Linked DNA regions of Drosophila melanogaster. The protein of the gene in region 2 interacts with the protein of the main gene of each other region in a pairwise test. Each region holds a gene or a part of one and is shown on either strand. Other genes may lie near its edges. The genes, in order: CG12362 and Ubc10.

What was found.
Region 1: the proteins of Ubc10 (region 2) and CG12362 interact in a two-hybrid assay, tested with the Drosophila melanogaster proteins (one large-scale study listed by BioGRID).

The regions. Positions count from the first base shown.
Region 1 is NT_037436.4:10,406,961-10,423,512, forward strand, and holds CG12362 (uncharacterized protein), read left to right. Parts: upstream 1-5,857; 5' UTR 5,858-6,076; coding exon 6,077-7,612; 3' UTR 7,613-7,814; downstream 7,815-16,552.
Region 2 is NT_033778.4:17,782,044-17,797,795, reverse strand, and holds Ubc10 (ubiquitin conjugating enzyme 10), read left to right. Parts: upstream 1-8,385; 5' UTR 8,386-8,693; coding exon 8,694-9,158; 3' UTR 9,159-9,382; downstream 9,383-15,752. Other genes in the region: Dhit (double hit), read right to left, coding at 27-111, 180-468, 533-594, 665-742, 2,192-2,200, 2,368-2,669; CG5033 (uncharacterized protein), read right to left, coding at 5,439-5,592, 5,656-5,951, 6,012-6,499, 6,563-7,877, 7,948-8,049; aft (adrift), read right to left, coding at 9,383-11,002, 11,056-11,496, 11,552-11,593.

The DNA.
Region 1 (16,552 bases), on a different chromosome or scaffold from region 2:
CGTGTTTTTTTTTTTTTTTTGCCAGCTGCCGACTGCTATATAAATATTTCTGATTGCGCTTTATAGAGTTATAAAAGAGTAAGCGCAAAAAAGAAAAGAAAAAAATATGGCAAAGTATGGTAATAAATGCCATGGCATTTGAAAATGTTATTAAAAAATGCTGGTGAAAAAAAAATATACTGCACAGAGAGAGAAGTCAGGCCATGCATATAAATTGCATGGCCTGCATATAGAAATAAATATAAAGTGAAACAAAAAAATACAAATGGTATACCAATAAGTGGTGGACAGGCTATGACGTCAGTTGGCCAAAATACCAAGCCAAGAGCCAAGTGGTGCCAGCCACAGAGATCACAGCTAAATCAGAACCATAAACCAGAAACAACTTCTAAAAACAACTTTCATTTTGTACTCGAGAACGCTGCGCTCGAGTACTGCAACAAAAACACAAAAAAAAAAAAAAATAAAAATAATATTTAAATTGAATAAAAAGCTGGAACAGACAGAAACTTCAAATGATTGCGTTTCATTTCCCATTGAGAATGAAATGTGCCAAGGGGTGTGATTGGGAGGACCACGTTCGTAATTAAGTTGAAGTCGCATAATTCAATTAACGTCTTGGCCGTCTATCGCTAATGGGTGGTGCTAGTGGTTCTAGTGGTTCTGGTGGTTCTGGCGGTTTTAGAGGTATTTCTCACTGCCGTTGGAGCACACGCAAACGCAGGCAGCAAAAGCACCCACTGCTGCATTGTATTTACTAAGTGGAACTGGTCACTGATCTGGATTAGCAGCAATAACAACAGCCGGCCAAGTAGACGTCAACACAATCACCACACAGAGACTCGAATGCTGCACTGGGCGAAGGAATGGCAATTAGAATATTGACAAAATTACTCAAATAAAAGCGTTAAAAAATAATAAAGTAATAAATTCTACCCTGGCATATAATTTAGACATTAAATTAATCAATTTGTAAACATAAAGTAACATAAACCACAAGTTCAAGGAACATAATGAATGTTGTTAATACATATACTTGTGTTGTTAGCAAGTGACAGTTACGATGCGCTCTAAATTGATTTGCGGTGAACCTACGATTTTCACAGTGCATTAGAGCCGGGCTAGGAAATATTGTGGGGACACCGCTGTACCAAAGCGTGACAGGCATGAATTAACAATTTGAATTAATGTCAGTTACTCATGGCATGGCTGCTGCTCCAAAGACTGAGTGCGATGGCCAGGGGATGGTGATTGGATTGGGGGGGTAGGGGGGGTAGGCAGATTGAGTGGGCGCCCTCGTTTTAGTTCGCCTTAGTTGCACTTACTAATTTCTGACTACGACTGGCATTGATCTTTGCATTGTCCGTCCCGTCCGCCGGCGGCCACAAAATGAAAGGAAAAGTAAGTTACGATTACGTTGCCGAGCGAGCGCAGCGGAGTTAACGTTAACGTTAACCAGAGGGAAAGGTAATTGCGATTTGGCCAGAAAAGGGAAAGGAAATGTTTCCTGCGCTGTGATTTTTGCTTGGCCAAGTGTCAAAAAATGTGGCATTCCCCCCCTTTGGCTTCACTCAGATGAAGGAGGGCCAAAAGGCGGGATTGGGATTGGGATTGGGCGAGATGGGGTACGAACGAGACTGGAACCCGGCTGAGCTGGCGCCAAATTAACCGGAAATGTCACAATGGCAATGGGCGACGTGCGGCCCGCTGCCCGTTTTGGAAATTATACAATTTTGTCACGTGACGTGCATTAGAAAACACAGTCGCACAAAAACACGAAGATATTACCAAGACGTGCCAGACTGTCGCGGTCCAAGCAAAACCAAAAAATGCGGAGAAAAAACAAAGAAAATCTGATAGGAGCGAATCAAACAATTAAAGGCCAACCAGATAATCGAAACATAATATGAGGTATGAAAGGATACTGGAAACATAGTTGTGACCATACAAATTTAAAATGAAATCAATTTTTTAGAAAACTGTTTTAAAATAACAGTGTAGGTGCGTATAGTCACTCACTTTGATAATTTGTTGCAAGTTTATTTAGTTTACTTATTTATATTTGCTTACAATAAATTTCAATTTAATTCAAATGCCCCCAGTACAGCACTAAGTAATACGCTTTAATTACAACCAATCCACCCCTGAGTTCCCATTAGAATGGTATAAAAACCAGTAACGCCCCCCACTTAGACGAGTGTGAACCCGTCAACTCTACTAAATGTCAACTGAACACGCGAAATTCCGCAGCAGGACTTTCACTGGCCAGAGAGTCCTTTTTCTGAATCATATACCTGCATATACAGCCGGCCGTCAAAAAAGTTTTTCAAAACCAAAGGCAACGTTCTCTATGTCACTAAGTGGATGGGGTTTTTTTTTTTTTTTTTTTTTTTTTGTTCACAAAACCAACGAAAAGAAGCCGCAAAAGCGCGAGAATATTGGCGGACGAAATGCAAAACCCGCTTTGAAGTCTGAGCCCAGTGATTTGCCTTCTTGGTGGCAAACTTACTAACTAAACTGCCACTTTGAAGTGGCGTAGTTTTCCTTCTTAACGCACTTTCTTCGTTGGCGAAAAATACCATACCAGCCAGAAAAGATGGCGGAAATGCTTCAATTTCAAAGGCGAAATGCCGCCAAACGATGAAGAGACAGCAGCACGTACGAGTCCACACATGTGGTGGAAAAAAGTTTTTCCTCTGCTGATTTCTTTCACTTTTCGGGGGTTGAATGTGTAAAAGGGGGAGCACTTTCACTTTTCTTCGCACCCAAGTATTCTGTCACAAGGCTACATTTTTTTTTGTTGTTCCTTTTTTCGCACAACCTTTTGATTGGAAGTATTTGCGCAAAATATGTGAGGGTGGGATTATGATAAAGGATATGCCCTAGGGTTGCAATAGAACACAATCGTTTTCAAAGCAAATTTTTGGCACTGCTTTTTCTTTGATGAAGAGTTAAAAGAGCTGTCTGTGCAGTGACATTTGCGAATGTCAAGTTAACACAAAAAATAAAGACCTGCAGAAATGATTAAATATAATAAAAAAAAATTGAATATTTAAGATTCATCTTCACCAAGGTACTGTGATAAATGTGCTGTTCCCGTAACCCATTTTTCCAACCAACCACTTGATGAATGATCACCCGGATCGCACTTAAAACGAATTTAAAAGTCTAGACTCTAGACCAAAACGAAATTTCACATAAATCTCTGACACACTCGAAACTTGAAATTAATTTTTTGATTTTAATTATATACGAATTCATCGCCGGGCAGCTACTGTTAAACCGCTACTCAAGGTCAATCAATAGCGCAGAGAAAACATAAATTCAGCTGTCCATGCCAACCGTTAATGTAATAACTCATGCCTCACCGCGACTTGATTATGAATCGAGAGCCAGGCTTTAAACAGAAATACAAAAAAAAAAATGCTAACATTCTTTCCTATACTCGTACAAACTCGTACATATATCATTTCTCTTTTGGGGGCCCCCGTCGCATCAAAATCAAATTAGTTCCGAGCGTTGATTTTCTTCCAACAGTGTCGGCGCTTCATGCTCGTTGATTTCCAGCTAATTTTTGCTTTTCAAATCGACTACACAATACCCAGAAAAGAGAGTAATTATAATGCGAGAAGCGGGCGAACGCATTTATCGCTGCGATCAGCATACATCCGTTTGCCGCTGAAATAAAGCTTGTAATTACCTGGCTAATTTACATGAATTTCGAAGCGAACATCCTTTTTGGCCAGAGAAACCGTTTGCCGAGCTGGAGAAAATATTTCCCAAGAATATTTCGCAGCAAATAGTTGCAGGAACATTAAGTACACGTTGAAAAATATAGATAACTTAAATGTACGAAATTTAGAGAAAATAACAGCAACTTTTAAAAGATTTGAATTGAGCTTTGGTTTTTTGTTTTGTATGCTAAATTGTTTACATTGAATTTGTATCTTCACTTGAATCTTATCATTAGTTTTTCGTAGTGGAAAACTGTAAGTAGGCGCAGAAAAATGCCTGTTGGCCGGGATTGTTGGCTTTGCCTATCAGCTATTTGGCATCATCATCGGGGGCAGGCATGTGGTTCTTGGTCTTTTTGGCGTGGTCACGTCACAGGGCCATCGCTGTTGACCATCATCATTGCAGTTGGCCATTTCTCTCGGCCTCTCGCAACGCGATTGGCAACGATAAAGCGTCGTGGCCAACAAGTGGCGCATCTATGTTGCGATTGCATTTGCATCGTGGGTAGATGGGGAAAATTCTTCAAATTTTGCACATATGACACTGGCCACGCCCATTTGCTGGCAACCGCCTTCGTTCGCTCCTTTTTTTTTTTTGTTATCCCTGCTTCTTTTGCACCAGCAAATGGTCAAATTATTTCCTTTTCCGCATTTTCCACCAAAGCATTCACGCGCACGAAAGGATTTCTTGTAATTTGGCTGTGACTTGAAAAGATGCTGGATGAATGAAAAAAAAGGGGCGAGAATGTGGATCTCCAACCACACGAACTGATGAAAGGGATTTTGTGGGCTGCCTTTGCTGTTTTGGCGACTTGGCATTTTTATTTGTAATGATTTTTGCCAGCTCTTTTCGCTTTTCTGTTTTTTTTTTTTTTTTTTGCATTCTGGAACGGGCTACTGTTTTTGGCGGGTTGTTGTGCGGCTTTGTTTTAAATAAAAAGTATAACACAAAAAAGGGAGGGGAGAGCAAGAAATAAAGGCATGACCACTATGTGTGCTTCTCCTCTGTAAATGCATATACTCACGTAAACAAAATTCAGCACTCAAAGAAAAAATTAATGAAATAAAGCAGTTTGGACGAAATAAGCATTGACTTAACTAGATAAATGTTTTTTTCAAGGCAAGTATTTTAGAATCATAATATATTAACCATTTTAGTGACAAATTTATTTTGCATTAAATACGCCTATTTTAATTATAATTATTTTACTTACAAAGTTTCGAATAATGATAAATTTAATATTTTAATTGCAAAAAAAAATAAATGTTACTCTCAATTTTCTTCCAGTGTACTACTACCCAAGTGCATCTTGGCATGGCAGATTGAGCCCGCTTGTTCAATGAGTGCTGGAGATGGGCTGGATTGGTCTGCTCCTGGGATCCTGGACGGGGATCCTGCATCTGCATCTGCATTATGCACACTCATTACCCTTACTCCAGATCGCTCTCTCTCTCTCTCACTCATTTTGGCCTTCCGTCCCGCTCTGGTCGCCATTATCCTGCGCTCACTTCACTTTCATTTCGCATATCGTATATATGTGTGCATGGGGTTTTTTCCCGGATTTTATTCCTCGTTTTTATTTACGTGCCTTACCCTTGCCACTTGAGACATTGCTTTGTTCTGTTTTATGCCACGAAAGGGTTATGAAAAAACATATATCCCGAAAAGCTTTTAGTGTGCATGTGAGAACGCGTTAAAAGCGCAGGCCAAGTGCATTTCGATGTGCTCTCAACTCAAAACTAAAAATGCTCGATGCCTAAAGCCGCATAGCAACTAAAATTCACATAAAATTCTACTTTCAGTGTTTTTGCTATAAGTCTTATAAAATTTTTCAAACATTTTTTTATATGTTTTTAACTACCAACACAACACTGGTGAATCTCGTTTTCCAAATATTGCAGACATATTTTTGGTGGAAAGCAGTTTATGTAGCCATTCTAATAGCGGTTGGTCCCAAGACTTCAAAATTTTACAGCACTGGTGCTTACATGGTTGTACAAACTTACCAGATAATTTGAATCGAAAACGGCAATCCTTAAATGCTGCCATATCGTACAATTTATTTGCGTGTGTCTTTTTCGCAAAGGGAAATCTTGACAATTACTAACTAAGTAGGTTTAGTCTTCAGTAGAAAAAAGAAGAAAAACACAAGAAAAAATTAATTCTTTACATCGAGAGTGTTCAATAGCCTCCAATACGATTCGTGGTCTGTAAAACGTTGTTGCTGTCGTGTTTGTACCGTTTATATGAGTCTCTATTCCATCAGGCCCATAAAAGACATCAAATGTTTTAGATCCGGTGTTATAAATTCCAAAAAAAATTCTAACCACATGCTGGTAATATGAATTCCGAAATGGAATTCTCGGATGAGGACCACGGTGACTCGCATCGGTCGCTTCTCACTCACATGAGTTGCGAAAATGACAGCGACAGCGAGGACACCTGCACGGAAATCCTTTTGCCGGAAAATTCCAACAGTCCCGAAACGGAGGACTTTGTGTACAAGGTCCTTTCGGTGGACCAGATTGTTCAGCATCAGCGTAACATCATCGATGAGGTGAATAATGTCCTGAATTTGCCACCGCAAGTCACGCGTATTATCCTAAATCACTTCAAATGGGACAAAGAGAGCTTGTTCGAAAATTATTTCGAGAGCAATCCGAAGGACTTCTTTCAGCGTGCCCATGTGTTGAATCCCTTTGAGAAGAAGATTGAACGCGAGTCTGCGGCGTCTACATCCTGTGCCATACCTCAGCTCTGTGGCATTTGCTTTTGTTCTTGCGATGAGCTCATAGGTTTGGGCTGTGGTCACAACTTTTGTGCCGCCTGCTGGAAACAATATTTGGCCAATAAGACGTGTAGCGAGGGCTTGGCCAATACCATCAAATGTCCAGCGGCCAACTGCGAGATCCTGGTGGATTATATATCCTTTCTGAAACTTGCCGATGATTCAGAGGTTGTCGAGCGATATCAGCAGCTCATCACCAACACGTTTGTGGAATGCAACATGCTGATGCGATGGTGCCCCGCCCCCAATTGCAGCCATGCCGTCAAGGCCGTTTGTGCTGAACCACGAGCAGTCCTTTGCAAATGTGGGCATGAGTTTTGCTTTGCTTGTGGCGAAAATTGGCATGAACCCGCCAGCTGCAGTTCGCTCAAGAAGTGGGTGAAAAAATGTCTTGAGGACTCGGAGACATCGAATTGGATTGCCCAGAACACGAAGGAGTGTCCCAAGTGCAATGTTACCATCGAGAAGGATGGTGGTTGCAATCATATGGTATGCAAGAATCCATCCTGCCGTTATGATTTCTGCTGGGTATGCCTTGGATCCTGGGAGCCACATGGTTCGTCCTGGTACAGTTGCAATCGCTTCGACGAGGAGGAAGCGAAACAGGCCAGATTGGCTCAGCAAAAATATCGCTCTTCAATGGCCCGATATCTGCACTATTACAATCGTTATAGCAACCACATGCAAAGTTTGAAAATGGAAAATAAATTATATTCCAATATTCAGGCCAAAATGGATGACATGCAGGAGGAGATGAGCTGGATTGAGGTTCAGTTTCTGCGTGATGCCGTCGATGTCTTATGCCAATGTCGAACCACTCTGATGTACAGCTATGTGTTTGCATTTTATTTGATGAACAACAATCAGAAGATCATATTCGAGGATAATCAGAAGGACATGGAAATGGCCACAGAAAAGCTGTCCGAGTGCTTGGAGCGAGAGATCACTGTCAAGAATATCTATGAAGTTAAACAAAAGGTTCTGGACTTATCGCACTATTGCCAAAAACGACGACATGTCCTCCTTTGCCATGTGAGGGAGGGATACGAAAATGACTGGTGGGAATTTAAAGAAGAGACCACTACATAAATCGTATAATCCAATGACATCTGTATTCGATGAACAACATAACAAAAATGGAAATTAATACTGAAGACTTTATAAGAAACGCACACAGTAAATCTTTCGGTTTTCACTCGGGTTGAACTGACTTCAGTTCACTGGATAAATATTTTTCAAAATTTACAGTTTTTATACAGGAATAGAAAAATATAAACAATAAGAAAACACCAACCTTTAGGCATTGTGGAGTACTTGCATTTAAATTGGATGTGTTGGTTGTATTTTTTGTTTAAATATTGTGCTATTACAATGTAGCGTCCTCTAATAAACTCAATTAGTGTAGAATTTTGCAGAAATATTTTGCTTTCATCAGACCATTGAGACTTTTGTGCAATTTCCTGACAAGTTTAGATCCAATCTAGTTATATCGCCAGCCCCACTGTTTGCTCTCCTTCTTTTTTTTTTTTTTTTTTTTTTAATTTTTATTATTTATTGAATCTTCCCTTTGTGTTAAGAGACTAACAATAAGTGTTCAAATCTTAATCTAACTTAATTAACTTTCACTTAGTGATAGTTTTTTTTTTTTCATTAATGCCCTAATAAGTTTATTGCTGGGCTGGGAGGTCGTTGCGGTGCAGCCGGCTTTGACTGCATACTCGGATTAGTTTTCTTGCGAGGGGATTTGTATGGGTGGTCAGCTTTTCGTTATACTTCGTTTTTTTCTCAGCTATTACTTCGATTACTAATTTGATTTTTAGGTCTCTGTGTATGTTTTCGTTCCGAAGGTACCACGGCGCTCCAGTGATAATTCTCAGAATTCTTGACTGTGCTCGCTGAATAATGTCTATGTTACTTCTGGATGCGTTGCCCCACAGCTCGGAGCCATAAGTCCAGATAGGTTTTAAGACGGAGTTGTATAGAAGAGCTTTGAACTCCAGACTAAGTGGAGAGCGAGCATTTATGAGCCAGTGGAGGTTCCTTGCTTTAAGTTTAAGATGTTTCGATTTGGCTTCTATATGTTTGCGCCAAGTGAGCCGCCTGTCCAGATGAACTCCCAGATATGTTACCTCGTCGGCTTGTGGAATGCATATGTTATTCAAGACCAGTGGTGGGCATGTTTGTTTGTTTAAGGTAAAGGTAACCTGCTTGCATTTTTGAACATTTATTGAAATTCTCCAGTCGGCAAGCCATCGTTCTACAGATGTTAAGTGTCGGGATAGGAGTGCCGTGGCTTTTATTGGGCATTTCGAGCGACTGAGTATCGCGGTATCATCAGCGAACGTGGAGGTTGTTAGATTGTAGTCTATGGGGAAATCCGCCGTATACAGGGTGTATAAGATTGGACCCAGTACACTGCCTTGCGGCACTCCAGCTTCGATTGCGCAATCGCGTGAAGTGCTTGTATCGCATCTTATTGCAAACACTCTGTTATATAGGTATGACTTCAGTAGCTTATGTGTGTTTTGGGGCAACAGCTTGATTATTTTAAACAAAAGTCCATCGAGCCACACTCTGTCAAATGCCTGCGCGACGTCTAGAAAAATGGCTGTGCAGTATTCTCGATGTTCAAAAGCAGTACGAATTTCTGACGTGATTCGGTTGACCTGTTCGATGGTTCCATGTTTTTCTCTAAAGCCAAATTGATGTGTTGGAAGTGTGTTGTTTATTCTAAGATGAGGGCTAATCCGAAGGAGTAGCATTTTTTCAAACAGCTTTGAAAGACATGTTAGTAAGCTTATCGGTCTATATGATGATGGCTGCGTTTTATCTTTTCCTGGCTTTGGAATCATTACTATGGTCGACTTTTTCCATTTTTGAGGGAAGTATCCAAGCTTGGCGATTGCGTTGAACAACAGGCAGATGTGAAGAATAGCACACTTTGGGAGTTCAATGAGCATTCTTGGAGTTATTAGGTCGTAGCCAGGCGATTTTCTTGGGTTCAGTTGCTCTTTGATAACCTTTGCTAGTTCACATGGTCGGAATTCAAAGGGTTCTTGAGGATCTAGATTGGCTGCTATTAAAGGAGGGAGAATAAATGTGTTGGTAGAGGGATTTGGTCGGAATACATTTTGTAAATGGTCAGCGAAAGCACTGGCTCTTTCTTCATCACTTCGAAACCAGGTGCCAGAGGGACTTCGTAGTGGCATAATTGGCGCTATTGGAGTCTTTAGGTTTCTGTGAGCTCTCCAAAGAGGGTACTTAGTGCTGGTGGGAGAGAGTTGCTCGATATATGAACGTTGGCTGTTTTTTTCCTCTTGTTTGAGAGCATTGGTAAGCCTGCGTGTGGCTATCTTAAGCATGTGCTTAGTAATTGGTGATCTATTAGACTGCCAATCCCTTCGTAGGCGTCGTTTATCTAATACCAGCCGCTCGATTTCGCGATTAGTTTTGATGTAGTTTGGTTTTGCATACGTCACTGGCGGGGTTGAAGCCTTTGCAGCCGAAACTAAAATGTTTTCAAGAGTTTCCGTTGACTTGTCTATATCCTCCTTTGTAGATAATGCCGTCGTTAGTTCTATGTGTGAACAGACATACTTTTGATACCTTGGCCAGTTTGTTCTAAAATTTGTGAGTCTATACGGTGGGTCGACGATGTGGGGGCGAGTTAGCATATTTAGAAAAACAGGTGAGTGATCTGATGATAAATCTGCTAGTGCTTCGGCGGTGACCATGTTGCGGGGGACATGTTTAGTAATTGCAAAATCGATCAGGTCTGGGATTTTTCTTGGGTCTGCTGGCCAGTATGTAGGCTTACCCGGGACCTTCTCTCCTTCTTGGACCACTAATATGCGTCTGGCTTTTGTAATTATAACATAAATCAATCCCAATTTCATGTTATACTTTTCAGCGAAGCAAAGCGATTAATGTCGACAATGGACCAGAGAGATATGGCATGGCAAGAGGAAAATCATAAATAAGCCATATATTGCCATGGCCAATAACGGAATGGAACGAAATGAACACCCCACCGACCAACCGATCGACCGTATGAAAAATATTTCCTTATCGCGATGCTTCCCCAAGAGAAACGCCGCCAGGTGCAAAACGAAACGTGTGGATATATCGAAGTGTTTGGTGGTGGTAGGGGGGGTGGGAGTTGTGGGGGCTAGGAACTGGCAACTGGAAAAGCCTTGGCCAATAGATTTACGGCAAACGGCAGCCGAGTCGTGCCTGCCTTGGCTTAGAGTGTGAATTTTCGCACCCGTGATGAAGTTTCCAATTAAATTTTATTGGATTTCAAATTGAGGCTGAGACTCAAGCTGCTGATCCGATGCCTTTGCCTTTTTCCAGCTTCGACTGGCTGGTAAATATTTGCGCACCATTGTTGTGGCAAGTGTTGAAAGTGGGCGGTGCAGTGCTAACCCCCTTGCAACCTCCCAAATCCACCCACCAACTGCCCCCACATCACAAAATCCACTGTCTCTGGCAGAGTGATTTCTTATGGCAGTTCAATTGCGGGGTCATCAACGTGTCAGCATTCGAATTGCACCATTGCGGATGCCACAAAGTTGCACCCTGGAATTGACTAATTTATGAATGCATTGTGGGAACGCCTAGAGTATTTCGGTGATTGGCAGTAAATATTTCAGAACGAGGTGAAAGTTTTTAAGTGGTTTTCTTTATTAAGTTAAGTTACTTTAAGCTAGACGAATTGATAATTCGTCATTGATAATTTCATTTGTATGCATAAAATTGTAAGCAAATAACTTTATGATGATAAAACTAAGCTTGGGTACATAACTTACCAAAAAATTTTAAATTCATACGCAGTTTAAAAAGATATTCAGATGGCTTTCAATTACTCGAATTTTCTTTATCAACTTCCGCTTTTCTTCTCTCTTTTCTCTGCCCAACTTTAAGCTCTGGGCCTCATCTCTGTTTACCTAGCATATCGGCTTGGCCATAAGGCAGCAAGTGGCAGTCAACAGTTGGCCTGTTCCTGGCCCTAGGACTTCGGCTCATTCAACAAGTCAACAAACAAAACACACACAGCGGAGAATGAAGAAAAGATGACGATGGGGAATAAAGTAAAATAAAATGAAAAAAAGAAGAAAAAAAATCACTGTAGTCCTTCCGTTGGAGACCTGCTCCCTGGTCAAGTTGTGCTCAAGTGCGTTCGTATTAATTTTATTTATTGGCCACAAAATCCCAACCGCAGACACTCTGCCCCTTCTTCAGGCTTAACGGTCTCGGTTGGTCGGTCGGTCGTTCGTTTGGTCGGTAGGTTGCCTGGTTGGTTGGTTGGTATGTCCTGCTCCTTGCCTCTTGGCCTGGCTTATTGAATTTTTATCTACAGTTTGCCTTTGTGCTTATGGCATCTCACTGAATCTTGAATCGCCGCCAGGGCGTTAGCTATTTTTATTATGGCAAATTCTCCTTCAGTTTTGTTTTTTTTTCGCTTTCTACTTCGAGCTGCAGACACTTGATGTCCTTACATCTGCTTTACAACTTGGTCGCGTACTTTCAATTACGCGCCTTCGTCCTGCCATTGTCCTTGGCCTCCGTCGAAGGTCGGTTAATAGCCAGCCGGGATGACAATGGACCAGGGCCAGAAAGTGTTGTAAGCCAACTGAGATTACCGGCAAAACTGTGTCAATGGCCGGGATAAATCAATCAACTGAATGAGGAAGTAAGCGCTGGCTGACCTTTGTTTAAGAACAATAATGGCGTTTTGAACCAACTTGAATGGGATGTTTTATTGGTTCACTTAGTATTATCTTTAATATTTAAGCTGCAACTTGATTCGTTACTATATTTATATTTATTTATTTTATTTAAAATTGATGCACTTATAAAAAAAAAAACCAAATTTCCGTTCATAATTTTTTTTTTTTCATATAAGAAGCACCTGTCTCTGGTGAAAGACGTTTTATGTAATTCACGATTGCAGCCAATTTGTTTTTGCACTTTCTAATGGCTTCCCCTTTTATTTCCTATCTGCGGCACATTAGTTGGACCATTGAGCAACAATGTTGTTGCATTGTATCTTTTTGTACCGCTTTTTGCGGCGAAGGCATTAGCTTTGCAATAAACAATTTGCAGGAGACACCGAAAACAAAATTATATTGTATAGATGATATTTGTACAAATTTAGCTTTTTTTAAGACTAAATTTAGAATAGGAATAATTTTTTTTTTTTTTTTTAATTGTTTTTGAATTAAGTGATGAATGTTTATGTTTATATTAATCGAAGGCTGGCTTATTTCTTGGTTTCTAAGTTTTTTTTTTGCGGTGTAACTTTGACTATAGTTGGATCTGAATCTAAGGCTGCCTCTGCGACTTCTTGGCCACTTTTTGTTTTTTTGACTAACTTGTACTCCTTGCACTATCACTTCATCAGCGACGTGAATTTATGAGGCACTTTGCGCAGTCGCCGAGCATCGTTGGCCATAATTTGCCGCCGTCTTGGCTTCTCGGTCTCGTCTATTGCCGAGTGCACAAATTGCGTTGATATGCTGACAGGCGGCACACAGCTTGTGCACGGCGAGAAAAAGCCCCCCCACTTTATTAGCACACTCATTTGCCTATCGCCCATCCAAAAGTGGCGGCAAAATGCATTGAAAGTGCCCAGAGTCTTCGGACTTCCACTAAATTGAGGCACGCGCGCAGGCGTTAAAGAGTAAACAAATAAACAGTAGGCACCAGCAGCGGTCCACAAAAACAAAAAACAAAAAAAAAAAAATTGAAAAAATAAAGAAAACTTCAATTGAATTTAATTGGCCAACTTGTGAGGGGCAGATAGTTGGTCTTTTCGACACTAACTAACTGTCACATTTCTGTGATGCGCGAGAATTGGAGCTCAGATGCGTAAATAAGCGAGACTTTTGTGAAATAACGTGTTATCGAACTTAGGAATACTCTATTCACAGAAGAAATATGAATTTAATTAATTCTCAAATTAGGAAATGCTTAAAATACATATACAAATGTTATAATTTTTTATATACAAATGTATGCGTAATTCAAAATATAGTATTACTAAAATAAATACGCATTTAGAATCGGATTCAAAACCTTTCTTTTTTGTTTTTTTTTTTCGAAATGATATAGCAGTTACTCACATATTTAAAATATCTTAAAATCTGCTATATAACTTTATATAGCATTCATTTCTTTGCAAATAAAATATCTTCAAATTCGTTACATTTTCAATTATACCCCTTTATGTAGTGTAACTTTAACTTAACTCATCATACAAATTAAACGCATTCCTCGGGCTACAGCTGCCGTGGCTTCTGTTTTTTCTGCTTATCACTTGTATCATCATCATCATTCCCCAGCCAAAAAACAAAAAAAAAATCGCCATCGAAAAAGGTCGTGCCAATTTAATTAAGCGACATTTTATTTAATTATTTCATATATTGATTGCAAAATGTGTAAAGCTTTTAATTGCGAAAAATGACCGCAATTCCCCAAACGGCGAAAAACCCATGGCTCTCACATTCCCTTCCGCAAATATGTGTGTGTACATATGGGCAGTAATAATTTCAATAATTTCGCATGGCGAAATTGCTGGAATGAAATTGATTTGGCTTGACAGGAGATGCATTTAATGCATTTATATTGCATTTCATTATGCTTATTTCATTTCGTAATGATTGAATTGCAACGGCTCGAATGATGACTGCCAATAACAAAGGACAATTGGACAAATCAAACAGATATGGAGCTTTTTGGTCTCATCCTGGGTATATCACTCTGCTGGATCGTGTTCGTACACTGAGAAAATAATATGCTGAGCTATATATATAATTAAATATATTTGAACTTCCTTGATGTTTATAATATAGTCAAAATAATATTATTTCAGCAAGAACAAATCAACTCCAAACCAAATAGGCTATTTAACTGGTACTATTACAACACTCTTGTTTTGCTCCCATTTATTAAGTTAATCATTTGGCAAATAACATTAAAAGTTAGCGAGCTCATTGAAAATGTATAGTCCCGCAGCTATTGTTTAGATTTATTTCGCTGTGTGAGAGCCGTTTGGGCAAACATATCAATTATGCGGCACATTTTTGCTGTTATAAATATTTACGCAGAAATTAATTATTTGATATTAAAATGACCGCCAACATTTTACACTCGACTGGGGCCTAGGATCTGCGAAATCCACTCGGGATATTGGCTTTATCCCCGGGCTTCCTGCGGTTGAGTTTTTTTTTTTTCTTTTTGTATTTGTATTTTGTTTTTTGAATTGTGGCCCGAGTGACTGGTTGACTGGTTGAATGGCCATGGCCTGGATGTGTGCACTGTGATTGACACGGTAAATGATATTCGCATTATGCACAGGATATGTTGCTGTCCAGTTCAGAGTGCTCATGTGTGTGTGTGTGTGTGTGTGTGTGCTGGTTAAACAGGAAACGGAAATGGCAACAAGCATTGTGTGCAGTTCCATTGGGAGCCATCTGCATCTGCATATTGCATATTTGTTGTTTATTCAGCCACTGTGATTGCCATAAAATCCATTGTTGTTTCATTTGTTGTTGCTTGCCAAATGGCAAAATTTAAAGCCTGATGAGCCGATAAACGCTTTAAAATTGTAACCGATGTTGGGCAAATTTTTGCATACTGCCCCCCGTCCAATATAATTTGCTGTTTCAGCATTCAGAACCATCCTCATCATCGTTGCGAAACGCCCCAAACCCTGGATTTCTCATCACGCCCATTCAGAATGTAGCTATACTCTCAAGCCCCTTGCCCGGATAAAGGCATCTACGTTGGCAGGAGCTGAAGAAATGCTCTTTAAGGATCCACTTGTGTGCCCGGGCTCTCAAGTGTCCTTTGCATGTTAGCGAAACCACTTGAAAATATGACGCGTTTGCTGAAGTATGCAAAAATTGCACATGGAACACGGAACACAGGAGGTTGCAAAAAAAAATAAAAATACAACCAAGCTCAACTGCTCAACCAAATCGCGGAACAATTCAATGTTTTCACTGCTTAAAGTTGTTCTGCGTAGGCCTAAGATTTATCGAATTTTTAGGTTTTTTGTGTACGACATCATTTCTATCAATCGATGGCCAGCAGGGCGGCAAATGTGAATCGTTGGCATAAGAGAGAAGTACACAAGGATAATATTGCTGATTCCATGGAAAATGTTAACCACAATAAGTATCTTTTCCCTGCTGTTTTTGCTTTTTACTTTTAAAAAATGGCAATAAAATTAATAAGAATTAAGCTTTTAGAGTTATGGTTATAAAATATGGCTTTAATACATTTCCAATCCGAAAAGCGCAGTTTTTCGCCCCCAGATTCGATCAATCAATACCCAGAACTTTGGCGTTGGCGGCGAACATGAAATATCACGGCCAAACCCTTTTTTCCCGAGCCCGAAAACTTTTCGATTTGATGTTTGGATTCGGTATCGCATTGGGTTTGGGTTTGGGTTTTGGTTTCGGTTTAGGTTTCAGTTTCAGTTACAGTTTTTCCTTGGCTGGATTTCCTGCAGCCGCCGCCGCGAACGTGAGCGTAACCAAAATTTTGCCAGAGGGCTTGGCCAAATCAATTCAATTGCCAAATTATGCCAAACCTAGGAAATACAAATGGTATCGAATCGGCATTAGAAATGGGAAATAGTCATGGCCAATATTCGGTGTGCTGCTACAATATTTGTGGCCGCAATTGTTTTGCATGACTCGACGGAGGCTTAAAAATAGAAAAACGACTCAAAAGCTAAGAGACTGAGCGACTGCATTGGCCTAATCGATCATCTGGCCATGTTTTCTTTCTTAGTTTTTTGTTTTTTTTTTTCGGCTGCATTTTGGCTCTTTGGTGTTGTGTACTATTTTCTTTATTTTTTATATTTTGTGTACTATTTTTTTTGTGACTGCGGGTTTTGTCATTTGGCTTCGGTTCGTTTGTTGGCCTGCTGTCATTTTTAACTGTCTATCTCGGTGTCTGTGAGCCGCGGTAAGACTTCGGCTCTTAGCCTGGCCTGCAACTATTTTCCGTGCCACATTT
Region 2 (15,752 bases):
CGATCCGGGACATCAAGCCATCCTCTCTAAGTTGGACTATCCGCTTTGGAACCGGCATTCGAGTTGTCTTGCAGTTGAGCTAGTGTCTTGAACTTTTGAGAGTTTAGGAATCTGTTGAAAAAGATACCCCGTTTAAGTATAAATACAGTATCTTTTATTTTTGCCTAAAGAGCACTCACCTCGGATATGAGTCTCTGTGCATCAGTGTGTAGATCTGGATTTGAGCTTCGTCGAAGGTGTGCGTCGTGGGCTCGATCATGTTCCGGTTGACAATCTCGCGGACCCTGGAGTCCAGCGACACCTCCCTGGGCGACAGGATCGAGATGTAGTCCTCGTAGATGAGGCGCGCCTTCTCCTCCACCAACTCTGGGCTATTCTCCTTCTTGAGATCCTCGCAGGCCAGCCAGAATAGGATGTTCTCCTCACTGAATTCGCTGCGCAGGAAGTTCTGGAACACCTTTCGACCAGCTGGGAAAATATTCGGCCAACCACCAATTAGTTTGGATCAAGGTGGCAATTGTCAATGGCTTACCTGTACTTTTCATCAGCTTGTCAAAGCTTTTGCCCCAGCTGCGGATTTCCTCCAGTGTGGGTCTGTAATGTACAAATAAATGTAGTTTTTCCGTGGCTTAAGTTTATTAAGTTGATTGGTGCTCAAACTCACTGCTCGCCATCCAAGAATTCGGCATTTACCAGATCTCGCTTCGTGGGGGCATTTTCATCGGCATTCTTGATGGCCAGACTGTAAAGATAAGAAAAAAGGGAAAAAACAAGGGGGGTTTGCTTGTTAAAAGTCGATTATTTTGATTTTACAACTCATCAATCACCCTTTAAAGTATACTACAATTTTATTCATCGCTGAATTGGCGCTCAGCCTGACTCATTTTTAACTGGCACAAAATAGCATAAATATGTAAGTACAGTAGCCGCTCGATAACGTAAACTTTTAGATAGCGCAAGCTACTGATTAGCATTTTATAAAACACTTGCACCAAACATAGAAACTGAACATAAGCGATTCTACCACATTTTAAGCTAGAGAGTTTAAAAGTTACTCATATATCTGAACGCGATATAAAGATATAATGCCTCGAATAAACACTGTAGATAGGCTAATGGCATATCGGTTTTGGGTTTCGAAGCCCGGAGACAGAGCAACGGAGTACTCGAACTTGACATAAAGCTCTCTTATCTGGACGACAGTTATCAGAGCGACTCGCTGGCCCAATACCTAATCAAAGTCACACAGGCGTACATATACCCCTATACATATATGAATCAAATTAGATGCGGCCAGGGGGGGTTTGAGGCGACATCGGGTGCTCTGAACTGGGTTTTCGGGGCGATATACCCCCAAGTTGTGCACACAAAGGTGCGGACGGGGGGTTGCGAGTTGGCGGCGGGTCGCAAAAGACTTTCGTTTTCATTCACGAAAACATGCAACACTTGGAGGAGTCCGCGGAGGAGCCGCCACATACTTATTTATATTTGATTTGAAAAGTGCCCTCCAGAGAGCTTTTCGCTGCCCGTCGCCTTGCTCACGGAATTGTGAATGAATGCGGGAGAAACTGAGAGAGCGGCACCAGTGCTAAAGAGCGTTTCGTAAGAGAGAAAGCGGAGAAAGTTCGCATGGCGGAGAGAGAAAGAGCTTTTGGATGTTCAGCAGCGTTGCCAGCTGCCAGCAGAAGGCCACCTTTACCGTGTCCATTTCCATTTCAACTTCCCTATCCATATCCATATCCATATCCATGTCAGTGGGCACAGCCATAGCCGAAGCCAAAGCCAAAGCCAAGCAATAGTTAAAGCCAAAGCAATAACCATAGCTGTAACCGTGGCCACATCCATGACAGCACTGCGAGAAACATGGACTAATAATATTTCGACTCTCTTAAAAAAAGGGCTCAAACAGACAACCTTTAAAATGAAATGATTTATAAAATAAAAAAATAAAAAATTTGCAAAAAATTGATATTGAAATAAGTAAAAATAAATAAATTAATTAACAATAACGATGTTAATGTAACCAAAGATTGGTTCATCTGTTATAGTATATCTTGAAAATAAAGCTAACTAGGTAAAATAATTACGTATTTAAAATAATTGCGCATTTAATATTCTATACTTTACAGTCCAATAATACCAATCGATTCTCTCGGTGTATGAATGCATGAGTGTTTCAGGAGGTGCTTACCATTTGGCCCTGTTGTCAGGATGTGGTTGGCAGTGGATGGGTATTGGCACAGGTAGTTGTTTTAATGACCGAACGGTTGAGTCAAGGCAGCGCGGTAACGAGAAAGAAATTGATTTCGTGTCAGAGGATTCGAGCGGTGCACAAATAGGCCACTCGGTGGTGGCCTCCATACTCACCAGGAGCAGGAGCAGCAGCAGCACCAGCAGAAGCAGCAAGGCTTCTGCGACTGCGGACGCTGAAACGTGGTCGCGTTCGACTCCTGCAGCACGTTGGACGTGGAGCCGAGGATTCCCACGCTGCCGCCCACGGTGGGCGATACTCCGCCCAGGCTGCCGCCACCTCCGACGACGCCCCCGCCGCCACCGTTCCCATTGCCATTCCCATTGTTGCCACTATTGTTGGCGGCACTTTGCTGTGAGGATGCAGTCATGCCGCGCAATCGACAGCCACTGGGCAGCTCGGAAACGGTGCAGGACATGCCGCTACCTGCAATAAAGGAACAAATTGAAACGTTAATGAACACTGTGCACGGGATGGAGTGGGGGGAAAGTGTGCTGACAGTTGGGCGAATCACAGTCACACTGCAAAAAATAGCTCTATTAGTCATCTAGAAAGAATTGTTAACCAAGGTGCCCGGAACTTAACTACTTAATTGTCTTGGCTGGTGAGTGTTTGTCTTTTTGGTTTGGATCCCATTAATTTGACAAGATGTCATTCAAAAGATACTGAAACTGATTCATTATATTATAAATATTATTATAAATATTATATTTATATTATAAACATTATATTCATAAATATGTTATTTGAATCTAGTCAAAACACCTTTTAAATAAAATTGTAATATTTGTTCTTTGCATTTATCACAAAGAAACTTTATATGAAATTAAAGATTAAATAGTAAAGAAAACTGTTGAATTATTAAAACATTGATTGTTTGTATATTTAATTTACCAAAACTATCAAAATATAATAAATACATATTCGGGAAAGTGTAATCTGGAGGAGTAGGTCCAACTGCTCCCGATTCGCCTCGTTTTCCGTGTGCACTTACCTGCCCTTTGAAAGTTGAGGTTGACGCTGGCGGAGCTGACGGAGATGGTGGAGGTGGAGATGGTGATGGGTGTTGGGTGGTGAGGTGGTGCTGCCCCAGCTGGCGGACCGCCCACTGCCACTGACCTACCCACTCACCCGCTCGCTTTGGTGCTCTTTTCTTTGCTTCGGCTTCTCTTTCTCGGCTTCCTTGGGGATGTGGGGTATGCAGGGAGACCGTTACGTATTTATGTTTTTGCTAATAATTTTTTATCGAAAGTTCCCACACACTCTCTCTCTCTCTCTCTCTCTCCCTGTGGCGCTCTGTCCTCTCTTTCTCGCTCTGCCCACAGCTGCTGCTCTTGATTTTAGTTTTCGTTTTGTTTTATGTTTTTTTTCCTTCTCCTTAGCTTTTCCTTGGGCGATTTTACAAGCCGAAAAATTCCAGAAATTCTTCAAGATTTTTTCGATAACCTTTTCGAGTAGTAGTTATCCTTATCGTAGGTTCCTGACTTCAAACCTTCGCGTGGGTTTGGTTTCCGTTTTTTTTTCTAGGGGGTCTAGCGTTTCTTTAGAGAGTTGACGGTGCGCGGGTGGCATTTACATATTCCGCTCCGGATTTACGGGCGAAAATCTAGCGATTCAATGGCCCCGTGCACCAAGGGGCACATTTCACAAGCGTTACGAAATTTATGAGCAGCTGGAGCTGCCACCGTAGTTGTTGTTCTGGCCTTTATTTATTTCTTGTGCTAGTCATTACACTGCCATTGTATATGTACATATATATGTAGGCGCCGTTGTGTGCGTGCGTCTGTGCGTGTGTGCGTGAGGAGGGGGTGGGCTGGAGTACCACCACATTGACACGCAACTTGGCTAAGTGGAGCGCATTGTTTGGCCCGTTGGGCGGATGGGGCGTATGCGTGATTTTCTCCACTTGTGCTGATGTTGCTGCAACAGCTGCAACATGTAGGCATCAGCAGCTAATTGCACTTGTTTGTAACTCGAAACGCCAGCGATTTTTGGTCGTTGCACTTATCACAAATCAGCTGCTTGGGTTCTTTTGTTGACCATTGCCTTTAGCCTGGCTATCTATGTATATTATATGTATATTTTGTTTTATTTTCTTGTTGTTGAACCAGCGCTTCCGTTCAGATTTTCACTCAAACACCACACACACGTTTATATTTTCTTTGAGGATTTTTGGGCGAATGGGTGGGCGGGAAAAGGGGGTCGCGTTTGTATGTATGTATGTTTTTGAGGAGCAGCGACGAGTACATACGAATTTTTGCCACTAGAATCGGAATCGAAATGTGTATATTTGTATATATTTTTCTTTTTCGCCCCGAAATTGTTTTGCTTGTGCTTCGATTTTTTTTTTGTGAATTTCTTTACGATTTTTTTCGTTGACTGTTGAGAATGTGTGTGTGTGTATGAATACGAATTGGGGGAAACTGCAATTTTCGTGGTCACTGGACTGCCTGGACTGGCATTTTCACATTTTCACATTTCGCCCTCGGCCATATTTTATTATATTCCTTCGTGCTCGGTGCCCCCGCAATGGCAGCCAATTCCCATTCGATTTCTGCGCTCTGCGATTTTGGCTGCTCAGCACCAGCAGCACCCAGAAGCTGAAGCCAAAATCCTCGACGGGTCGATTCGAGCGTTTCGAGATTCTCTCCGCTCGGGCAAAGGCAGGCGACTGATTTCCAAGCAGTGCCGTGTCGCCAGCTCTTGATTTTGATTTTCCAATGCGCGCGCTCCTCCCGAGGAACGCAAGATAACGGCGAGTGGAAAGTGGGCAGCCGGGGGAGGGCTCCATAGGTGGACTGAGCGAAAAGCTTTGTGGAATTGCTATACAGTTAGAATTCCTGGTACACACAGGAGAGGGACTGACAGGCGGAGAGCGCGAGAGAACGGACGGTAAGACATGTGCGCGAGTCGGAAAAAGAGAATAAAGCTCGGGACTCTTCGCCCCACTGGAATTTACCGCAAAGCTTTGGGGCCAGAACTTATAAACTTTCGGCAGGGTTGCACTTACATTTTGATTTTGGGATCCCGTTGATTTCGAAAACCGTTGTTTTTAAAATGTTCGAATGAAATGGTTATATGAAATACTTTACTTTTCATAAAAATTAATATATTTTTTATTTACTATTGAAATTTCACAAAACTTTCGGAAACTAAAAGAAACTTTCTTGGGGTTTGTACACCTAAATTACGTGTATAGTCGGATGGTACTGTCCGCGCCCGTGGAGAAGACCCATGGCTGCACCGGATGCCAGTTAACATCCAGCACACCAAACTCATCGCGTTTCTCGTGTGTTTGCAGCTTCTTGAGAGGCACAATCAAAGGGTTTTGCAGCAGGTCACTAAAAAAAAGTTTGGAGAAATTCGTAATTAACCTTGGGCAATGTTGATTTATAGCCACTTACTTATAGACCATGCCATGGGAGACGATCACAGCCTGGTCATCGCTGCCGGAAGCAAAGAGCGGATATCGAAGATGGAAAGCAACACTGCGAACTGCATTGCGATGGAGTCGCATGGTCTGGTAGGGCTTTGTGGACAGATCCAAATCGAACCAGAGCATCTTTTTGTCATAGGTGGACACCAGCAGATTGTCGCCCTTGGGATGAATAGACATGCCCGATATCCATTTGGAGTTGGTCAGCAGCTTCTTGACAAGCTCTTGTTTGACCAGATCATAAATGCGAATGTTGTGTTGCGTCTGTAAAGAAAAAACAGAATTCAATAAGACATACTAACAAAAGAAAATTAACCCACTTACCGCCACAAAGAAGCAGGGCTTCACCGGATGGAAGAGCACGAATTGGATGAGACCCTTGCTCTTGGAGAATGGAATCTGTGAGCGCCGCTTGGACAACTGATGAATTAAAGCCGAGCGGTTAGCACCTTCGGGCATCACTGTGGCCAAGTAGTCACCACGACCGTGCCAGGTCACCTGTCGGATGGGTTTGAAGTGGGTAATCACTACGCGGACGCCCTTCTCCTGCTCATCAGCTTCCGCATTTGACCATTGCACCGCCGTCTTGATGCGTTCACTTTCAATGACATCCTGACTGGGCGCCTCAGCCAAGAGATCGTCGGTCTTCTTCACCAGCACCTTATCGCCCACTTTAGGATTGACGAGCAGCAAGCGATTGCCAGTGGCCACCGCAATAATAGACAGCTTGGGATTTGGACACCAAGCCACACAGCGTACCACTTCGTCGGTCTCGATTGTGCGAATGCAACGACCTGTTGCAATTTCCCAAACTGTGAGGTGAGATGGATTAGTAAGAAGATATCTAAAAGGTTGTCAATTAAATTAGTACTTACTCTTGACGGTTTTATCATCCGAACCGGAGACGAGGTACTCTCCCTTGGGCTCCACACTAACAGACCGCACCAGATCGGTGTGGCCACGGTAAACCATACTCTCCACCGTGGGAAAGGGTTGCAGGTCACGCGGCGAGGGCAACTTGGGGATAAGGTACTCGGCATCGATGTTCAGCTTGACACGCTTTGCACGGGGACACAGGTAAAGATCCAGGCAACGAAGGAAACGCTCCCGAAGGTATCTCGAGTATGCGGGCACCTCCCTCAGCGACTTGAACTTCTGTGGCATGAAGTGCAGCTTGCGCTTGTGTGGCTCGTCCTTTAGTTTAAGCCACTCCTTGGTCTCCTTGGCATCGAAAAGATACTCTGGCGGTGGATTGTAGGACTCGGCATGACCGGGAAGGTCGCGTTTGGGCGCAGAGACTGGATCGTGGATGCGGCGCATGTGTTCCCGACTGGTGTCCGTTTCCCACAGCATGTAGAACTTGGGACCGCGCTTGGCCTGCTTCTCGCGTTCCACTTCCTCAGTGGTCTTCATCCAGCCCATTTTGAGGGCGTGCACCATGCGAGAGACGCGCTTTTTCTCGGAAACTGAGGGCAGGAAAGAGCGTTTGTGGTCGGGTACGTTCTTGATGGGCATCTTTTCCACCTCCGATGTGAACCATTCGATCCAGGGCTCATACTCTTCGTGATCCTTGTTGGGTATGCGACCCGAAACGATGCGCTTGATCAGAGCAATGTCCTCGTCTGTTAGGCGCACATCCTGACCGGTAAGTGGATCCTTGACGGTACGCCAAAAGTCTGGGTCCTCGATCTTACGCAGGAACTCATCAATTTGATCTCCTTGTGGTGGTTTAATAATCTTCTTGGCATCCCAGTCGTAACCGATGTGCTTGTATTCGTCGTACCAGTGCATGGGTATGTTGCCTACAGTATTTCTTATGTCCTCCTCGTCGGAGGTATCTGAATCCTGATACTCAGGCTTCGAGCTATCCCGTTTCGGGAGCTCTGCTGTAAGGGCTTTTTTAGACGCGGCACCGCTTCCACTGGGCTTATCGTCTGTTTGCTTTGACTTGGAATCCTTCTCCTCATCTTCCACTTCCTCTCCATCAGTGCTTTCCTCCTCTTCATTATCCTCTTCATCACTACTTTCTTCATCTTCCTCAGCTGATGAAGATTGCTTTCTGCCCAAGTAGTTGCCCTCCTCATCGCTCTCGAACTGCAGTTCCTCACTGGAATCCGAGTGGTATTCCTGGTCTATGCCCTCGTCATCTGTTGAATCTTCGCCGGGATCTTTTACAGCTTGCAGCAGGTCCTTAAAGAGCACAAACACACATGCAGGTCATTTTGAAATGACTTTTTATATCACTGTCAATGGGTCTTACCTCCTCCTCCTCCTCGTTTTCGGAAGCCTCGGAACTGGCCACCACTTCATTTGTGGGTTCCGAATCCTTTCCTCTGCGTTTCAGAGCTAGTTTTTTGGTCATTTTGAGGTAAAAACAAAACTAACGCGGCGCACGTGTTGCAGTCAGCGATAGCGATGGGAATCGCCTGAAACGGTTGCCTATCGATTGGCTTGCCGCCACTGCTGCTGGTAATCGGTTACAAATCCATTTGGAAACAGCAACCCTTTTATTTTCATTTGTTACCTCTCTTAAAATATACATCTATAATAAATACTTTCCAATAAAGATTTATTTAGTATTAAACATAATATTACAGCCGTTGCAAGTTGCAAAATCAAGACAAAGTTATACATGACCAATGTATATGTATACCAATTGCAGCGCCGTTGCGAGCAAGTCTGCAAAATACCCTAACGCTAATTGGAAGATTCTTCAACGAACCATTTTCAGCGAAATTCGCAGACTTACGTGCGGATTTTTTTGGGCCAGTGCGAAAACCAAAGGTGACACCCCGCAACTGGAGCACTAGGAGCTCACCAACAACGAAACACCGGCGGCTGAACGAGAGTATTACATATCCGGAAGACAAAACCATCGATTTGCAGCTCACACAAGGGCAAACAAAAGTGCACACGCACACATTGGCAAGGTGGCCCCCTCCTCTTTCCGTTCCACACACACCTACGCACACACCAGCATAAGAGAACCCACACATAGACATCACGATGACTGCGCCGCGACGCCTGCGAAAAGAATTGAGCGATTTGCAGGGCAACGCACTGAAGTCCTTCCGGGACATTAAGGCGGACGATGACAACCTGCTGCGCTGGACGGGATTGATTGTCCCGGACAATCCGCCGTACAACAAGGGCGCCTTCCGCATCGAGATCAACTTTCCGGCGGAGTATCCTTTCAAGCCGCCCAAGATTAACTTTAAGACACGCATCTACCATCCAAACATCGATGAGAAGGGCCAGGTGTGCTTGCCCATTATCAGTACGGAGAACTGGAAACCGGCCACACGCACCGACCAGGTCGTGCAGGCACTGGTGGACTTAATCAACGACCCTGAGCCGGAGCATCCGCTGCGGGCGGAGTTGGCCGAGGAGTTTCTTAAGGATCGCAAAAAATTCGTGAAAAACGCCGAGGACTACACCAAGAAGCACAGCGAAAAACGTCCGGCCGACTAGCGGATAGGCGGAGGTAGAGCTGGAGGAGGTGGGCCAGTCCACAACCCATGTGTACCCTTACCCCTTAGTCTTGTGATTTTTCTGTTAGTTATTTAATTTTCATTCTTGATCCATGAAAAACTATCCTCAGAAAACATTTAAGCAGATATTTCCCCGGCAGAGTACCTAGTTTTGTAAAAGTAGCACTGTAATTTGATGCAAGTGAGAAATACATGTTCGTTATGTTAAAATACAGCTGCCGACTCTTGGATGGAACCGACATCTGAGTTGGATGTCGGAGCTACGGGCATGGGAAATGATTCCTCGCCCAACATGCTACGGAAGCAGGTCATTACAATGCTGTTGTTGTGCTGAATGAGGGCCTTGCTGAACTGGTTCTTCTGCAGCTCCTTAATGTCCAGCAGGCTGTGAATGGCCCCCGCCTGCTCGTCCTTAAGAAGTTCCAGCACCTGTTCCAAGGCACTGTTAGCCGTATCTTTTAGCTTACTCAACGTGAGAGTTTGCGCTTGATTGCTATTAAAACAACAATCCTGATAAACGCTCTCTATGAGAAATAAGAGCAGCGACGCCGCGTAATGGGTGAGAAACAGGAACTTGTGGAAGACAATGCTGTCGGGCTTCAATTTCTTTACTTCTTCCAGGAGATCAATGAAAAAGCGCTGCTGGGCGGTGTGGAATGCCTCGTCTTCTGTTGGTGGCAGGTAGCATAGTGTCTTGCTTTCCAACTGGCACTTTGGCGCAGACTGCCAGACAGGGTCGAGTTCAAATGTGTCCAGGATGCGAAGGCGCAGAATGAGTATTGGTTCCGAGGCAAACATGCTGCTTTGCAGGCTCTGAACAGGTGCTCCTCGTGAAATGTGAAGATTCAAGGGTGCCGTTCTGTTCTTAACGTATGAATACGGTGTTCTATTGTTAAGACACTTCTCCAGTTGATTAAATTCCCGACGCAAGCAGTAAATCTGCTTGAGAAGGTCACCGTGTTTCAAGGACTCCCTTTCTGTGTAGGAACCGCCATAGACAGGCACTTGGAATCCCAGAGCCTTACTGGTGGCCTCCTTGTCCACGATGCACAGGCTATCTTCTAATGGCTTCACTTTGTATAGACTGTAGTAGGTGTTCGCGACAAGACTGCGCAGGTGATGAAGATGTCTCAGATAATGACGATCATTGGACTCGTAGGCATAGATACTGCCCTCGATGGCATCCGTTTGAAGCTTCATGTACATACGGCAGGCGATCTCGTGCTGCATGAGAAAGTCGTGGGGAATCTGGAACTTGGCAAACAGTGGCATTACCAATGTGTCATTCGGCTGAGCAAGCTTGCTCTTTATCTCCTCTAGCAAACGAGGCAAGTCGGGATGGTCCTTGTTGTAGTTCAGGCAGATAACATACACTTCCGAATTTCCCCGCTTGGAAGTAGCCGGCTTAAAGATGTGTACCTCCTCAAAGATGCAATTGAGTGTATAAAGTAGAGATACACTGCAAGCCTCGAAGAGGGTAAACATCTTCACTAGGAAGTTACCGCCACTTGAGAGAATTCTTAAGGCACTGAGTACTTCAGCAAAGAAAAGGCGAACCACTATCTCTTCCTGGCAATCAGGCTGTGCGGCACAATCGATGGAACCATCGGCAGTGACAAGATCCACCTGTCCCTGGAACTCCACCTCACAACGTTCCACCAGGTGGTCAATGTTGGCCACATCTAGTAGATTTCCAGTTAGATCTTTGTGAAAGAACCAGTTGTCCAGCGTGTGGACGATGAACCTGTCATCGCTGATCATCTGGTTTATAGCATTGCCTTCATAGTACGGATTCAAAGTAGTTGAGCGCCAGCGCCATTTAATCTGGAAAAAAGAGTTCCGTTCTCGTATCTCTCAAGGATGACTTGATAACTCACCTCATCCTTTTCATATTTGCTATGAAGGTAATGATTCAGAGATGCTATGAAGGCACCGGGTGCCTCGCAGAGATGCATACTGTTGACAGCCGGCTTCGTGACCAATGGATAACGATGCAGGCACTCGAACAACTTGCACCATGCCACAGTTACAAATTCGGCCTTCGTGTCGTTTTTCAGGCGCCAGGACACCTCGCCAGAAGGGTCACGCCTGTTGGTGTGAGCACTCCATTCCTGCACGCCATAGTCATTGAGTTTGCTTTTAACCGCATTCAGCTGCTCGCGCAGTCCCTGCAGCGCCTCGAACTGGTAGAACTCACTGAAGAGAGCCTGATCCGGTGGCGGCAACTGCCAGGATTTGTTTCCTTTCGGCTTCTGATAGTGGAACTTCTTCTCGAAGAGCTGCTCCACTTCGGAAGGCCGGATGGACTGATAGTCCGTCTGTAAAGTGTGAAATGTAATGACTGACTTGTAGGATGTAGCATCCTTTACTCACCATTGGGTGTGGCTTTCCCTGCGGAGACGAACGAAAGCTCATTCCGGCTAAATTTAAATGCGAGGCGTCAAAAACAAAGCGATCTGCGACACAATAGAGATGGAAAAAGCTCAAAGCGATCCATCGCCTAAATCTTAGCGACGGTAACTAAAAATCGCAAACGTTATCGATTAAGCTATCAAATTTAAATTGATTTTCCGGGCTGCAATGAATAATTATTTTATATCTCTAATGCAATATTATAGCTAATTCGTAGATGCAGAAGATTTGGCTAGACGTTTCCATAGCTTGTATCTGAAGATGAATGGAATAAGAACAAAAGCCATCAAGAATTCCATCTTGTTTAAAAGTTAAAGGTTGAAAAATAACTTCAGCCAATATGTTAAATGCAATTGTTTTTTTTTTTTGCCGCATATTTCTTTTAAAAATGTTTCTTAATTCTAGGTATTTTTCGACTAATTCCCTTTATCAAAAGAACAAAATCGCTATCTCCTGTAGAAATGTAACTTCCTTTCCACCTTCGACGGCGATGATCGTCAAAGGCATTTCCCGTAGATGCCCGATGGTGGAAACGTGGAAACTGATTTCTTTGATTCTATGGAACTATCCATTTAGAAAGCGCACGGCAGGCGACAAATAAGGTGCCTGCAAAGTGTGCGGTTACGAAACTATTGGTCATCATCCGTTAGTGATTCGATTGTGCATACTAATATTTCATTAAAATCTTATTTTATTGATGCGGATAGCCCAAGTACGGAAGTTGGAGAAATTGTCGGAAAGTTACATATACATACATATAAACTTACACTCCCAATCGGAATGTGGTTATGTCTTGGGGTCTCGGAATTTCAGCATCGACCATCGTGGCCAATGGGTTTACTTAATACGCGCATGCCTTGCCGACTTTATGGCCATTTGAAACGTGAGTCGTGTTTTTATGAATAATAATAACGATATTCAAATTATGAGTTTCCAATGCTGACAAAAGAAAAAGGATCGCATTGGCTACCGCAGGGGCATCACTCTTCCCTTGGAACTCGACATCGGTCTTGAGTAACGTTCTCCGCCTTTATATACATATATATATATATATATATATATATGCACATAGCTCCCTCTCATATACAAATAGCAGTCGTAGCATATGTGTACGTACATATAGGTGTAAGTACCCAGGCCGGTATATTTGTGCCCAGTTTGTATATAGAAGAGTCCGGCACGTGACTGTTTTGTATAATCGCGCATAAATATCTGTAATGTAATGCCTATAGATAATGGTTCACAGCGACGGAGCAACAAAGTTCTGTAGTTACTTCGGCTTAATCGTCCCGGCAAGATCTATGTATGTATCTTCGTACTCCTTGGACATCTTCAATAGCTTCGAGCGGAAGTAGCAATCGCTGCGCATGCGCCGTGTTTGGCGTTGAATGGTGGCCATGGCCAATGCATTTTTGGGGCCCCCCGATGGCGAACCGACAAATTCCAATTCCGAAACGACAACGACTGGTACGTGGACACGGCTATTGTTGGCCACAAAATTTTATTTCATTTCATATTTTTCTCAAAAGGGAGTTCATTAATATTCCGGGCAGACGGCGTTGCGCTAAAAAGCGGCTTAGCCTGGCCGGGCACAGCTCCATGTATCTACGTCTCCGGCCCTCCACCCTTTTTTATTCCCCCATTGGCTGGGCTGGCTACCTGTCGCCATGCACAGGTAAGCCTGTACTGGTACAGGTATCACCCCCACACTGCGACGGTGTGCGTGAGCTGGCAACGGACCGCAATCCCCGTTCATTCTCCATGTGTGAGTGTCAAATGCCAACTAATTGAAACTTCTTCAATTGCCGAGGTGTGGTGCTGAGCTCGCCGCTCGGCTTCGGAATCAGTTGCCAATTAGTCTCCACCGCTGACGGATTACACTTGCCATCGTCTGGGAGTCCAGCGCTCCAAGCCCGTCATCTATTCCAACAGCAGCATATACAGTATAATTCGCTTAGCTGCATCGATAGTTAGCTGCATCGGCAAGATATCTGCATTATTTTTCCATTTTTTTGTGTGAATAGAAAATAGAAAATAGAAAAAAAAAAATTAAGTTAGCTGCATTTTTAAGTTACCTGCATCGAGGCATTGTGCAAAGTACTCGAGGCAGCTAAGCGAATTATTCTGTATACACATATGTACGATGTAGGCACACAAAACTTGTTAAGTGCTTTTCAAAACAACAAGCCTTTCATTGATAAAAGCCATTGGATAACAAGCGAGTAATAGACGAGCATTTGTGACCAGTGAGAATGTTTCGGTGAATTGTGAACCAAAACGGTTGGGGTTTCGTCCATGTCGGATCGATCGTATATCAACTCCGTTGGTAAATTGGCAAGATGTCGGCATAGCTGACGTTGAAAAGCGATTTTGAAGAGCGCTATGCTGCATCTAGTCAGTTGTTCAATGGAACAGTCAGCGAGATCGAACAGAACAGTAGTGGAGTTTTAAGCTCCATCGTAATCTCTTTTTTTTGCAGATATATAATCATAAAATATCTGAAGGGATATTAAAACATTTATCGATTGGAATATTCGCAAAATGTGGAACAGTTTTTGCATTTTAAAAAACCGTTTTTCGAATGTTATAAGCAAAAGCAGTAAATTTACGAAGTATTTTTATTTAATAAATATCTTTTAATACAGTATAATTCGCTTAGCTGCCTCGAGTACTTTGCACAATGCCTCGATGCAGGTAACTTAAAAATGCAGCTAACTTAATTTTTTTTTTTTAAGGAAAAATAAAGAATTTATTTCTTTATAACAATGTTAAACATAAAAGGAACTGATAATTTCATTCTTAATGATAAGTAAGATCGACATATAAATTTAAGTGATGGTGAATTGATTAAAACACTTTTTAAAACTAACTTAAAAATAGTCAGTAATTTTTTTTTGCAATACAGCTGAGTTTATATGTAAATTAAACAGCTTGTCTTCCATAGAATTCAAGTTTTGCAAAAACTCATCATTATTGTTTCGCATAAAAATGGACTTTAAAGCCTTAATTGCTGCAAACCCATCCTTAAAAGTAGGACGCTCAGTATCGTCCACATCTTCATCACTATGGCTTTCTTCGTTATCGCTGGTTTTTGCATCTTGAACTAAAGAGCGCACGATTTCATCATCATCTAATTGACCATGGCAAGCCTCATCTGCATCAACATTGGCATATTCATTCCAATTAATATTCGATACAATGTCAACTTCTACGCATTGTTTGTCTTTTTCAGCAATGGTGTCTCCTTTTCTTTGACGCTTTCTTTTTAAACCTGACGCGGCCACAGCTTCATGAATTTCATTTGTTTTTTGTAAAATGCGGTTGACTGTGGATCTGTCGCATTTGAATTTGGCACAAATTTCCTTTTTGTCCACTTTGTTGGTCACTAACTCGATTATTTGAAGCTTTTCCTTTAGTGTTAGTCCAACGACACGCTTTGTTTTACCCATTTTAATAACTTTGTGTCATAAGAAACAAAAACACAAAAATCACGATCAAAGCAAAAACAAAAACGGACATGCGCAGATACTGAAACGAGTTGGCATTCTTGCCATCTTTTAGATATGCAAAAATGATTCATAGATGGCGCAGCTAACTTTGATGATATTCATTGAAATTGGCAAAAAAAAACAGCTGATATGATGCACTTAAGTTAAAAAGGCTGTTATCTGCGATGCAGCAAACGTATGAATTTTCGTACAAATTTTCTATTCACACAAAAAAATGGAAAAATAATGCAGATATCTTGCCGATGCAGCTAACTATCGATGCAGCTAAGCGAATTATACTGTAGTAATCATTTTAGTTTTTTGCAGATGTGATTCTAAATTTGAAATAGTTATCTCCATATAATATTTATGAGATATAAAAAGAATAAATATTATGTGCTGCGAAGTAGAGGCGTACGCAATCTTGTTTTTCAGACATGATCTGGAATAAAGGAGGGAAAACTCTTCTAAAAATTTTGGAATATAACAATTTGGAAAAATGGAACCATTTTTATATGTCTTCCCGATTCCACGGACAATTGAATTTAAATAAACATAGGCACTCATTATTGCTGCTTATATAAGTAGCATACCACAGAAAATACAATTATCTCACCATTAAGCTAATTGCCAAAAATAAAGTATCTGTTAGTACATATTTGTTGTTTTCATAT